3 linked regions of the Saccharomyces cerevisiae S288C genome follow. The gene in region 2 interacts genetically with the main gene of each other region. Each region holds a gene or a part of one and is shown on either strand. Other genes may lie near its edges.

Region 1 (3,689 bases), on a different chromosome or scaffold from region 2:
ATTTTCTCAATAAATGAGTTACCCAAGTAAGCTTTCCATTGATACAAGTGATCTACATTCTTGCGACGCCAAATTATAAAGCACTAAAAATCATATCATACCCAATTGCGGGCAGCACATGTATATATTATACACTACTTATAACTAACCTTCTTCATATATAACAATATGCCTGATAATACTAATGCATTTAAATCATATCATGAAAGAAAATTACATGGGTTTTATTGACATAATTGCATTTAGAATACATAAAATTCTAAAGAATTAATATATCCAAAGTATTAGACATAACCAAGAATAATAGTGAATAATTTTAGATTTTGTTACATATAATTCTGCTTGCCTATCTCTTCCACTCTTTTCAAAACGTTGCATGTAAGCGTTACTAATATTCCGCTTTATTTTGTTGCAATTCCTAATTTTTTCATTACATTATCTTGCGAGTACGGAAGCGATTAACGTTCTCCCAATAGAAGGAACAAACATAGATATTGAAGTTTTACTGCTTTTGCTTACCTGACCTTTTTCAAATTTAATTTTTTCCCGCTAATAAGACCATAAACTACCCCGAACCAAATTCTAAAAGATAGTCAGCTGGATTAGAGTTGTCATCTCCAAACATTAATTTTGCATTATCTTCGGCTTCAATCAAATCGCCTGATAAGAACTCCTTTAATTCTTCATGAATGTTTGTATGTGGATGACTCTCCATAGTGCCAGCATGATTGTGGTTACCGACCGAATCATATAACGGTGGCTCCCAATTGTGCAATTCAGCCTTACTATTTTGTTCATTCATCAAAGCATTTGGGACAGATCTAATATCTATAATTCTTTCCTCACTATTCTCGCTATTATTTTGCCCCGAACTGGCATGGTGGTTATTGGTAAAAGGAGATAATGCTGCGACAGAACTTTTCTTCTCTTCCAATTCTTTTATCTTCGCCAATAACGCCTTCTTTTTTCGTGCTTGTATTTCTAAAATTTCGGCCAGGTATTGTAAATATTCGACCGTTCTATCCAAAATGATACCCTTATTTGGTTTGATTTGTTTACCTAGGTCATCGTAATTCAATAAAGATGGTGGAACCAACTGGCCGAGTTCTTTTATCTTTTGCTTTATTAATTCTCTTCTTCTCCTTTCGACGGCATTATGAAACTCTCTTTTGCGCCTCAGTTTCTCATCAGAAGTTAACCCGCCTAAAATCTTTGGAACACTTCCAGGTCCTATATTTTCAGTCATATTGCTACTTATTGAAGTGTGTCTTGTTCTGGGTGTGTTTATGCTACCATGCCTAAAAGAAGATGAAAGGAAACTTCCTGCACGAAATGACGATGATGGTGATCTTACCTTTGGGGAATATGTGGAAGATACGGATGCTGGGCCCAAGCTTTGTGGATTATAAGAAAATGATGATGAATATGTGTTTGGTGTCATCATATCAGAATTGATGCTAGAAGATAAAGAGGAGCTCAAATCATCAGTTAAGTTATACATTGTGTCATCGGTGCCATGCTGAAATAAAAAGTCATGTGGTAACTCAGCTTTTAAGCCTTCTTGTTGCTGTAATGGAGTATTCATTGCTCTATCCACAGGTGAGTCGTAAGCCATAGAATAAGATGATCTCAAGGGACCCTGCCCTATGGAAGATATGGAATTTTGAGTGACAGGTCTACCGCCTTGGCTTGTTCTAAACATATCATCCAGGTAAGACGATTGCGATTCTGCTTCCTCATATATGGTCGAAGCTGTAGGAGTTTGTGAATTGGACCTCGCTTGACTGCCCATTAAGTTATTATTATCGTTAGAGTTGTGCGTATTGATGTATGAGAGTTTTTCATGCTGTTGGGCAGGAGTCTCACCACCTGGGTAGGCACTTCCGTGTATCTTGTAATCATCATTGTGGTGTGGAGTGGGTGTCACTAACGAAAAATCTAAAGTTTCCTGGAGGACTTTTGTCTGGTTCATTAATTCGTCCAGTAGACGTTGGTTCTCAGCCTCACTTTCGTTATTGTTCATCATTCTTCACTTATTTAAGAAGTAGGTTCGCCTGACAAAAAATAAGAGTATTCTATTAAAGGATACTTGTCAACTAAGTAATGTGAATGCAGTAATGTCGTTTTTGTTATCTTATATATGCTCACGTAAGACAGAAATTCGGATTGTGAAAAATTCCTTGATGATTCCGTGCAGCCTCTAGCCAAAATAGCAACTGCGAGTAAAAAATAATGTACTAACCTGCAGTAATATTGGAGATCCTACTGTCCGGACCGAGTAGTACAATTGTTAGTTTCTGTTGCTCATAAGAAGGCTTTTCTAATCACCATGGCTTTATTATTTCAAAAGTAACTTGCGAAGAGTCACATCCCGCGGAACGGCCCGCAATCGTGACCCGGCAAAAGGCGATTGTAATGAAGAGGGAGTATTGGTCAAGACTTGTACTATACTGAAATAGGAAGAAGATTGAATAAATTTGCATTCTAATTGCGTTCGGTAGTTTAGAGTAGGACTTAGATTACCTGTATTGTCTGCAGTTGCGTTTTTTTTTTTTGCTGGTAAAAAAAAAGAACAAGTGTGGAGAATATGAGCGAGGAACCACCTTCTGACCAGGTCAATAGTCTCCGTGACTCATTGAATCGATGGAATCAAACAAGACAGCAGAACTCGCAGGGTTTTAATGAATCTGCGAAGACATTGTTCTCAAGCTGGGCGGATTCTCTCAATACCAGGGCCCAGGATATATATCAGACGTTGCCTGTATCTAGACAGGACTTGGTGCAAGACCAGGAGCCGTCGTGGTTCCAATTGTCAAGAACGGAAAGAATGGTACTTTTTGTCTGTTTTCTTTTGGGTGCAACAGCCTGTTTCACTCTTTGTACTTTCCTTTTCCCCGTTCTAGCCGCTAAACCAAGAAAGTTTGGTTTACTATGGACAATGGGGTCCCTACTATTTGTTCTTGCGTTTGGGGTACTTATGGGACCACTCGCGTACTTAAAACATTTGACTGCAAGGGAAAGGCTGCCTTTTTCGATGTTCTTTTTCGCCACATGCTTCATGACGATTTATTTCGCAGCCTTTTCCAAGAACACGGTGCTGACTATTACATGTGCTCTTCTTGAATTAGTTGCCGTCATTTATTATGCTATTTCATATTTCCCATTCGGTGCAACAGGTTTGAGGATGTTAAGCTCTGCTGGTGTCAATTCGGCAAGAGGTGTTCTGCGCATCTGAATTATCATTCATAGTGCATATTGAATTGATTAGTTGAAGAAGAAAAATAATGTTTATGTTATAAGAAACAATAATAAAGAGATTTATAACCTAACCTAATTAAATAGCATGTAGTCAACAAAAAGGGAGTAAAACATGCAGTGGCTCTATATATATAATTATCGTAGAATAATTCAAAAAAAAATAAAAAACGAAAAAATTCATTCTTCATCACTCATCAAAGGCACTATTTCGTCATAACGCGGAGGCTCGTTACCATGAGAGAGTAGCGAATCTGCGGAGCTCGAACTTACTATTCCTTCTTGTTCTTCATCATCTTTTACATTCGCTAAAGTGTAACCCTTTTTGAAAAATTCGTTCTGTTTGTCCTTAGAGTTTTCAGTGGTAGCGTTTGGAATCCTCACAGTACCATTTGCTTGTGATAAGCCATTTGTTGGTGATGAATTGTGAGATC
Region 2 (2,900 bases):
GAAGTGATATTAGAGTTTAACGCCATAAATAGTTCTTTATCTTTGACGTCGAATCCCAGCAATTTTATCATGAAATAAATGTAGATCGAGTTGACTTCCACTGGCAAAAAATATTCTAAAAAAGTTTTCAAATCGTTGTCCTTCAAAAACAGTCTTGCATTCATAACATCATCTTTAGTGATTGCAGGAAAGATGAATTTGCCCGTCACCTTATCCTTCCCGAGGATACAAGGGTACGTTAATCTCGTTTTCAGCTTCTTCGTAGCATTATTATCTGACTCTTCTTCTTGAGGTCTTTTCAACATTGTCATGGTCAGCTCTCCAACATGAAAGTATCGCCCTTGACTAACCACCAAAATAAAACTAACTATCCGTTGCATTAGCAATATGTTCATTTAGATTTTTTTTTCTCACAAAAACAACAAAAAAGAAGAGAAGTGTTCGTATCACTACCAACGAGGGTTATCACAACATAGCAATAGTGAGAGTCAGAAGTACTTTTAGCTACCATTACCGTACTCACCATACCCTCCGTACTCGAAGGAGCTCAACCTCTTTGCTGGCGGTCTTACTGAGTCATCATTTGTTGCGGCCAGCGGTCCCACGCCAATCCTGGACAGGGCGACTTCAGCGCTGGTGTTCTCTAAGTTTATATCGTTGACAATGGTGCCTGTCTGCTTGGCCAACTGAGTGGCCTTCACCATCAGTTCCACCTCCTCTCTGTTCTGTGTGTCCACTTGATTTTGTAGATGTGATATGTACTCTACCGCCTGTGTGAGAATTTGGCCCTTGTTGGGCTTTCCGTCCTTGGTCCCTGTACCTTTGGCCTTGCTGGACAACCCAAGCGCACCGGGAGTGGATTCACTTAACGTGTCATTGCTACCAGAATTGCCGTAATAATCTCTAAAGAAGTCTTTGGGAATGATACTCAATAGTTCTTGAATACGGTCGTTGATCTTATCTCTGCGCTTGCGGTCATTCTTGAAATTAGCACCGCAGGACCCAGGATCAGTGCCAGCTGGAATGCTGCTCATGTTTGGTGTTGTGCTTTCTTTTGGTTCACTATCTAGTGTTTTTTGTCTGTGTTGTGGTTGAAGTTAATTCCATTCTTTTTACTCAAAATTTTCGGTGGCGCCTTTTTCCGTTTCCAGTAATGAGTGGTTATTGTAGATATGATGTAAGATTACATGATAATATATATGCTAAATAGTCTAAGCTTTGTCGTCACTATTATCGTGGCCTTTGAAGGCAATGATGGTGCACTCCTCCTCGTAGCCTGGTATTTGTATGTAGTTCACACCGTGCGATTCCAGCTTGTTCAAACTTGTATTGTTTTTAACAAATGTATCGGGCTCCATAACCCCCACGAAGACAGTACCAATGGCACCTTGGGTGGCCAGGATTCTATCGCAGCAAGGCTCATTGCCACTTAGCCTGAAGGAACAGGGTTCCATGGTTGTATAGAGCACTGTTCCCATAGGGACTATAGTGGGACAGTTCGGGTGTAACTGCGAGTACTTTATCAAAGCACACTGTTCTGCATGAGTGTTTCCTGGTAGCTCTCTTGAATATCCTGTGGCAAGTACTTGAGTTCCATGAACAAGAACGGCACCAACACTAAAAGCAGTCTTTGTCGGGCCACACTTACCAGCTTCCTTAACGGCCATTTCCATATATCGGCGATGTGGCTCTAAGGCCCATTCAGGGTATTTTGTTCTATAACTCCAGAGAGGTTTTTGCGTATCCGAATTTCTTTCCAATGACTCGTACCGGAAGGCATGCAGCCAGAGGTCGAGATCATTAGTACCGGGATCTGTGTACATTTCAGCCTCGCATTCTTCGCACTGACGGCCAAGCAAGTATTCACCCTCGCTATGAGGATGAATCCAGCTCTCTGCAGGATTAGTCTTGCCAATAGCGTCTAGTTTCAGAACGATGTCATCATAGTTTTGAAGTCCACCGCGGCCCAAATCTGGACCCCAGATATCTGGGTTCGAGTATATAGGGTCATTTGCTATGGGAAATCCCAAGTACTGCAAATGGACTCTTATTTGGTGAGTTCTACCTGTCAATGGTTTACACTTTACAATACTCGTCTGTCCATCATAGCTAACCCTTTGGAAAACGGTCTTGGCATGTTTAGCGTTTTCATCGCTCATCTCGCAAACAGCGTTTAGTGCAACTTTAGGGTTAACAGATCTGACAGGCTTATCTACCTCTACTATACCTATAGGGAACTCGCCCTTCACGCGGGCTACGTATTCTTTGGTGACTTCCCTCGCTTTCATTTGGTCTCCCATTCTATCTGCACCTAATGGAGTCTTGGCTAAAAACATTAGTCCACTAGTTGGCTTGTCTAGTCTATTACATGGATGTACTGAATAACCTAGCTGTCTTTCTAGCATTTTTGTAATGGTATTGAATCTGTATCTGCCCGTTGGGTGCACTGGAATACTGCTGGGTTTATCAATGACAAGGATATCTTCGTCTTCAAACACAATATCTATTGGTTTAGATGTGACTGGCGGTTCATGTCGATGTACTTTATGTGTGATCAGATCACCGTCACGAATGATGGTATCAAGGTTTGCAGGTTCATCGTTTAAGTATACTTTTCCCTCTGCAATGGTTTTGGAATAATAGCTGGGCTCTCGATCCCTGAATTCGCTCACGAATACATCCACCAACTTACGATCTCTCCACCTCTCCTTACAGAAAGTTTTATAAGTGAAAAAATAAGGCTCAATCTTCCTTAAGGGTCCATCAATTGTCACTTCATAATCAGGGTCTGTCTTTTTAGTTTTGTGCCCATCGGTTTGAATAACTCTCAGTCTGAATCCACTCGCATCTTTGACTTTGGAACTGTTTTCGTTCCTATTATTATTCCTGTTCGCGAATTT
Region 3 (4,891 bases), on a different chromosome or scaffold from region 2:
AGAATTTGGATGAGCTATCTAGAAGAAATATTGATGTTATGCATCTACAGCATATTTTAACCAATCACCTAGCTTTTGCAAACGTCCAGCAGACGCCATTATTCCAATTACAGCAGGTGAACTCACAAATTTCTGAGCTTTCAAGAGATGAATTACGTTCGATTTTGAGCGACGCGAAATGTGTCGGTGTCATTTACCGTCATGGTAAGGACGCCGCCGGCAAACCATTGGACGAAGAGTATTTCTACGATTTAGAAAACGATGATGATTACGAGAGAAGAAACTTGGTGAGTTCATTAAAAGGTGGAAGGACAGGCTTAAGATCTTGTAGAAGGACACATAAACAATATTTTTGGAAAAAGCCAGCAAAATAGAACATTTTATTCCATCGGATATATGATAAGAACAAGAAAATAAAACATCAAGTGCCTATATATCCCATCTGAGTACGTAAAAATTTTGTAAGAATACAGTTATGTAGTAAAATAAAAGTAAATAAAGCGCTAAAACAAAAAAATAACTTCAAATAAAGTCATAAAAGTTAATGCAATGAAATCACATGCCCTCATGAAGCATGCTTTTTTAAAAAATCTTGCATTTCGTCAGTGTCAATGTCTTGTGGGTCTTCAGAAGATATGGCCTGTAACAAACCATCAAGCATATTGTCAACTTTATTTTCGTCGATTTTCAAACATAAAGATAACACTCTTCTAAATTTATTCTCTAATTCTGATTGTTTGGTGCTGATTGTATCCAATACATTGGTTAGGTGTTTATCATTCCGCTTGTATGCATTTATTCTTGCCTTCAATAAGACCGTTGGTGGAAGCATCGATTGGATTTTTTCTGCGGGAAGTTGATTTCGTATCTGTTCCATTATCTGCTCTTTCGACTCCGCTTCTAATAGTTTGGAAATATCGCCTTCATAATTCTTTTGTAATTTATCCTCCAAGAAATCTGAAAGGAACTCTACTTTGAAGGGTTCATCTGCATCATATTCGCTAGAGTCCCAATCAATACCTGAACTTTCATCTGCAATTATTCCTAGCTTTTTGCTCTCTTCCCTAAAACTTTCCTCTTCTTCTTCAATTCCTGCTTTTAAATTGGTCAATTGCTCTTGCATTAGTGAGTATTCATCTTTCAATTGCTTCACATTTGCTAGTTGTTCTCTAGAATTAGCTAATTCTTCTCGCTGTTCGTTCAATTCCTTGTGTAGTTTTTCTAATTTCTCATTATATTGCACTGTTTCATTCTCATAATCTTTCGAGATTGAATTCAGTAAATTTTGGACATCATTAATTAACGAAGTTGTTTCAGGTGGGTTTTTCAACAGTTGAGACCTTATTTTTTTGGCCTTTCCATTTTTTTGACCGTCGTAATCACCCTTAGAGACCATCTTCGAGTTTTCGTCACCGCCGTTCGTATTTTGTAATTTTGAAGTACCTGCCCCAAAATCCACGGGTCTCAACCCTGATTTGTTTGCAATAAATGGGTCAGCACCGTAATCTAATAAAGCGTCTACTATTGAAATGTTTCCCAATCTTGCTGCAATGTTCAAGCAAGTATCGCCATTAGAGTCCTGCGCATTGAGCATGTTTGCTATTATCCATTTCAGGTCCAAATTTTCTAGTATAGAGTCCTTTCTTTCCCCATTTTTGTCATTCGGTTTGCTTTCTTTTTCGTTAGTACCACTTTGAATGGGTCTATTTTGTTTCTTGACAATCCATCCCATTAAAATATCTAAATAATATTTCGCAGCTGCTGAACAGCCAGTCATACCAGACGTAATAATGATATGGTGCAAAATTGTTCTATTCATTGAGTCTTCCAAAATTAAACATGGATATAAATAATCTAGAAGTGCCTCAAAAGTACCAGAGTCGTAATTATTTACTGATTTGACAGCTTTCACTAGGCATGACTCCCCCATATTATCACCATATAATCTGTTTGAACCATGCTTAACCAGGTGTTTCACTAATTCCAGGTTTGCTATTGAAGTCAGCCAATGTAATGGTGTGTTTCCATGCTCATCTACAGGAATATTAAGATTTAATTGAGTATTAGGAAAAGCGTCGTTTACCTCTTGCAAAAGGCTATCAAATGATACGTGCTGTTGTTGTTGGTTTGAGCTCCCCCCTTCTGAATTTCTATTACTGCTGTCATTATTAAGGGATGTAGGCATTTCTTGAATTTCTGGAAATAACAACCGTTGTAAGAATGCCTCTAGTTTCATCTTCTGTTCATTATCATTTACAACTGGAGAAGGTAGTGCTTTCATGATTTTCAGTGGACTGCTTAAAAAGTCAGAAGTTAGGTCATGAGTGAATGTTATGATAGGTCCAGCGGTTCTGTCATTGTCATCAGTGCCATTATTTTCATTGTCGCCGCTAGGGCCCTTATTAATATCATCGTTAGGCTTGCCTCTGGCAGTATTCGGAGTGGAGTCACTCTCAGCATCTATTACAGAGGTATCTATTTTTAGTTTTTTTAAAGGAGAGCCTAATTCTCTGTGTGCATCAGAATCCAGGCTCATATCTTGTAAATTATTAATCCTCTTTGAGCTGATATTATCCTTAGAATTTTCACTTTTGGTCTTGTTTTCTGGTAGTTTCGAATGGCTGGGATCTTCTTCATCCTGATCTGTTTCAGGCTCCTCAAATTCGAATGCATCCTGGAACAAACCGAATAAATTTAGCATGTTTAATAATTGTAAACATTTTTCCAGCTCTATCCATAACTCACCTCGGTCGTCTGTATTTACAGCAATTCCATAATGTGCCAGTAATTTATTTCTTTCCTCATCAGTGGGGAAACTATCGGGGTTGGTCTCGTTAATATTCCCCGTGTCATGATATTGCTGCAAAATGGGCAGAAAATGTTTCAGGAGGAAATGGCCAGTCTCCGAGTCTCTAGTGAGTGTCAAAGGGATCTCATTGTGAGGTCCTAAGTATCGTACCACTTCTTCCAACGCCATCCTCTCGAGAATTATACTGTGTTCCCCTTTATTATTCTTTTTTTTTTAGCTATTGCTTAGTTCATATTGATGTTTCTCAATCGTGTTTTTTGTTGTTTTTTTTTATTATTATGAAATCGTTGGAGAAGGAAACTAAAAAAAAAAACTAAGATTTGGTGAATGATCTTATCCAAACGGTCCAGATGAAGACAAAAAAAGGAACAATAAGCTTTCTTATTTTATTTGATTCAATTTTTAGAAACTAATTGTCCACATTTTAAATAAATTCTATGGCTAGTAACGCTGCAAGGGTTGTCGCTACAGCGAAGGATTTTGACAAAGTTGGGTTAGGGATCATCGGATACTATCTTCAGTTATATGCGGTGGAATTGATACTGAGTGAAGAAGATCGGTCGCAAGAGATGACCGCACTAGCGACAGAACTTCTTGATACTATTGAAGCGTTTAAGAAGGAGATTGGCGGCGAGAGTGAAGCAGAAGACAGTGACAAAAGCTTACACGTTATGAACACGCTAATACATGATCAAGAAAAAGCCAAAATTTATATGCTAAATTTTACAATGTCGTTGTATAACGAGAAACTGAAACAGCTAAAAGATGGTCCCTGGGATGTTATGTTAAAAAGATCACTTTGGTGTTGTATTGATTTATTTTCATGCATTTTACACCTGTGGAAGGAAAATATAAGTGAAACGAGTACAAATTCATTACAAAAACGAATTAAGTATTGCAAAATTTATTTGAGTAAATTGGCAAAGGGTGAAATTGGTTCCAGCGACGAGAAAACGTTAGATTATGCAGATTTTGCGGATGATAGCGAGGAGATTAAGGATGAAGATGTTGATCACCAGACAAGCGATTTGGAAAACAATAATAATGATAAAGTCGAAGGCCTAGCCCCAAAAGACCAAACAACATCATACGAGCCTGTGGATGAGGTACCTGAATTTATTGATGATGCCGATAGCGTAAACGAAGAAGAACAGACCGTCGACAAGAACGAAGATGCAATAACAAAAGACGAACAACAAGTTGTGAAGAAAGAAGTGGATCTTACGCGCCCTTCTGCACCATCAGAACCTGCTGCAGCAGAGCATAAATCGTATACAAAGGATGAGTTGACAAAAATTATGGACAGGGCCAGTAAAATAGAGCAAATTCAAAAACTTGCCAAATACGCCATAAGCGCATTGAATTATGAAGACCTGCCCACCGCCAAAGATGAGTTAACTAAGGCGTTGGATCTGTTAAATTCTATTTGAATAAGATAAAGTTTGGTTTGTTGATCCGTTGAAGGAGGTATATATTAATATTAGTAGTTACGTATTAAATGTTAGAAAGGAAAAGGAATCCTGTATAATGCAAAATGAAATCGATACAAATTTGATTTGAGAAAAATGAGTCTATATCAAGAATATGATGGTATTGCGTCCCTGCATCAAATACGGTATAATGTACATGTTGACTTGTGTTGAGCAAATGAAAACATGGGAGGTTGAAGGCAGAAAAAAGTCCAAAAGGAAAAAAGCTTAGAACTTCAAAGTCTTAGGCTTTTCCCATGGGTATTCTTGGTTTGTGAAATGGCCATAAGAAGCGGTTGGCAAGTAGATTGGTCTAGCTAAGTCCAACTCCTTGACCAATACACCAGGTCTCAAGTCAAAGTTCTTGCTGATAATGTCGATAATTTCTTCGTCAGACTTGGTCGCAGTACCATAGGTGTCAACGTGCAAGGACAATGGTTCCGCAATACCGATGGCATAAGAAAATTGAACTTGAACTCTCTTACATAAACCAGCGGCAACTAGGGACTTGGCAACCCATCTAGCGGCATAAGCGGCAGAACGATCAACCTTAGAGTAGTCCTTACCGGAGAAGGCACCACCACCGACGGATGAGGCACCACCGTAAGCGTCG

What was found. A genetic interaction does not mean that the proteins touch.
Region 1: mutations in RTG1 (region 2) and RTG3 together harm fitness less than expected from each alone (positive genetic interaction), as found in Saccharomyces cerevisiae (6 studies listed by BioGRID).
Region 3: mutations in RTG1 (region 2) and SWI6 together harm fitness less than expected from each alone (positive genetic interaction), as found in Saccharomyces cerevisiae (3 studies listed by BioGRID, with this or other methods).

The regions. Positions count from the first base shown.
Region 1 is NC_001134.8:21,511-25,199, forward strand, and holds RTG3 (Rtg3p), read right to left. Parts: upstream 2,027-3,689; coding exon 566-2,026; downstream 1-565. Other genes in the region: SFT2 (Sft2p), read left to right, coding at 2,588-3,235; ECM21 (Ecm21p), read right to left, coding at 3,436-3,689. UniProt on the Saccharomyces cerevisiae protein: Transcription factor that regulates CIT2 gene expression. Binds to two identical sites oriented as inverted repeats 28 bp apart in a regulatory upstream activation sequence element (UASR) in the CIT2 promoter. The core binding site is 5'-GGTCAC-3'.
Region 2 is NC_001147.6:201,485-204,384, forward strand, and holds RTG1 (Rtg1p), read right to left. Parts: upstream 1,035-2,900; coding exon 501-1,034; downstream 1-500. Other genes in the region: histone deacetylase HST1, read right to left, coding at 1-395; bifunctional DRAP deaminase/tRNA pseudouridine synthase RIB2, read right to left, coding at 1,212-2,900. UniProt on the Saccharomyces cerevisiae protein: Required for a novel path of interorganelle communication between mitochondria, peroxisomes and the nucleus, thereby maintaining a functional metabolic interaction between the tricarboxylic acid and glyoxylate cycles.
Region 3 is NC_001144.5:516,026-520,916, reverse strand, and holds SWI6 (transcriptional regulator SWI6), read right to left. Parts: upstream 2,978-4,891; coding exon 566-2,977; downstream 1-565. Other genes in the region: TOS4 (Tos4p), read left to right, coding at 1-374; VTA1 (Vta1p), read left to right, coding at 3,247-4,239; methionine adenosyltransferase SAM1, read right to left, coding at 4,507-4,891. UniProt on the Saccharomyces cerevisiae protein: Part of a complex involved in cell-cycle-dependent transcription. SWI4 and SWI6 are required for formation of the cell-cycle box factor-DNA complex. The repeated element in the upstream region of HO (5'-CACGAAAA-3') is called the cell cycle box (CCB).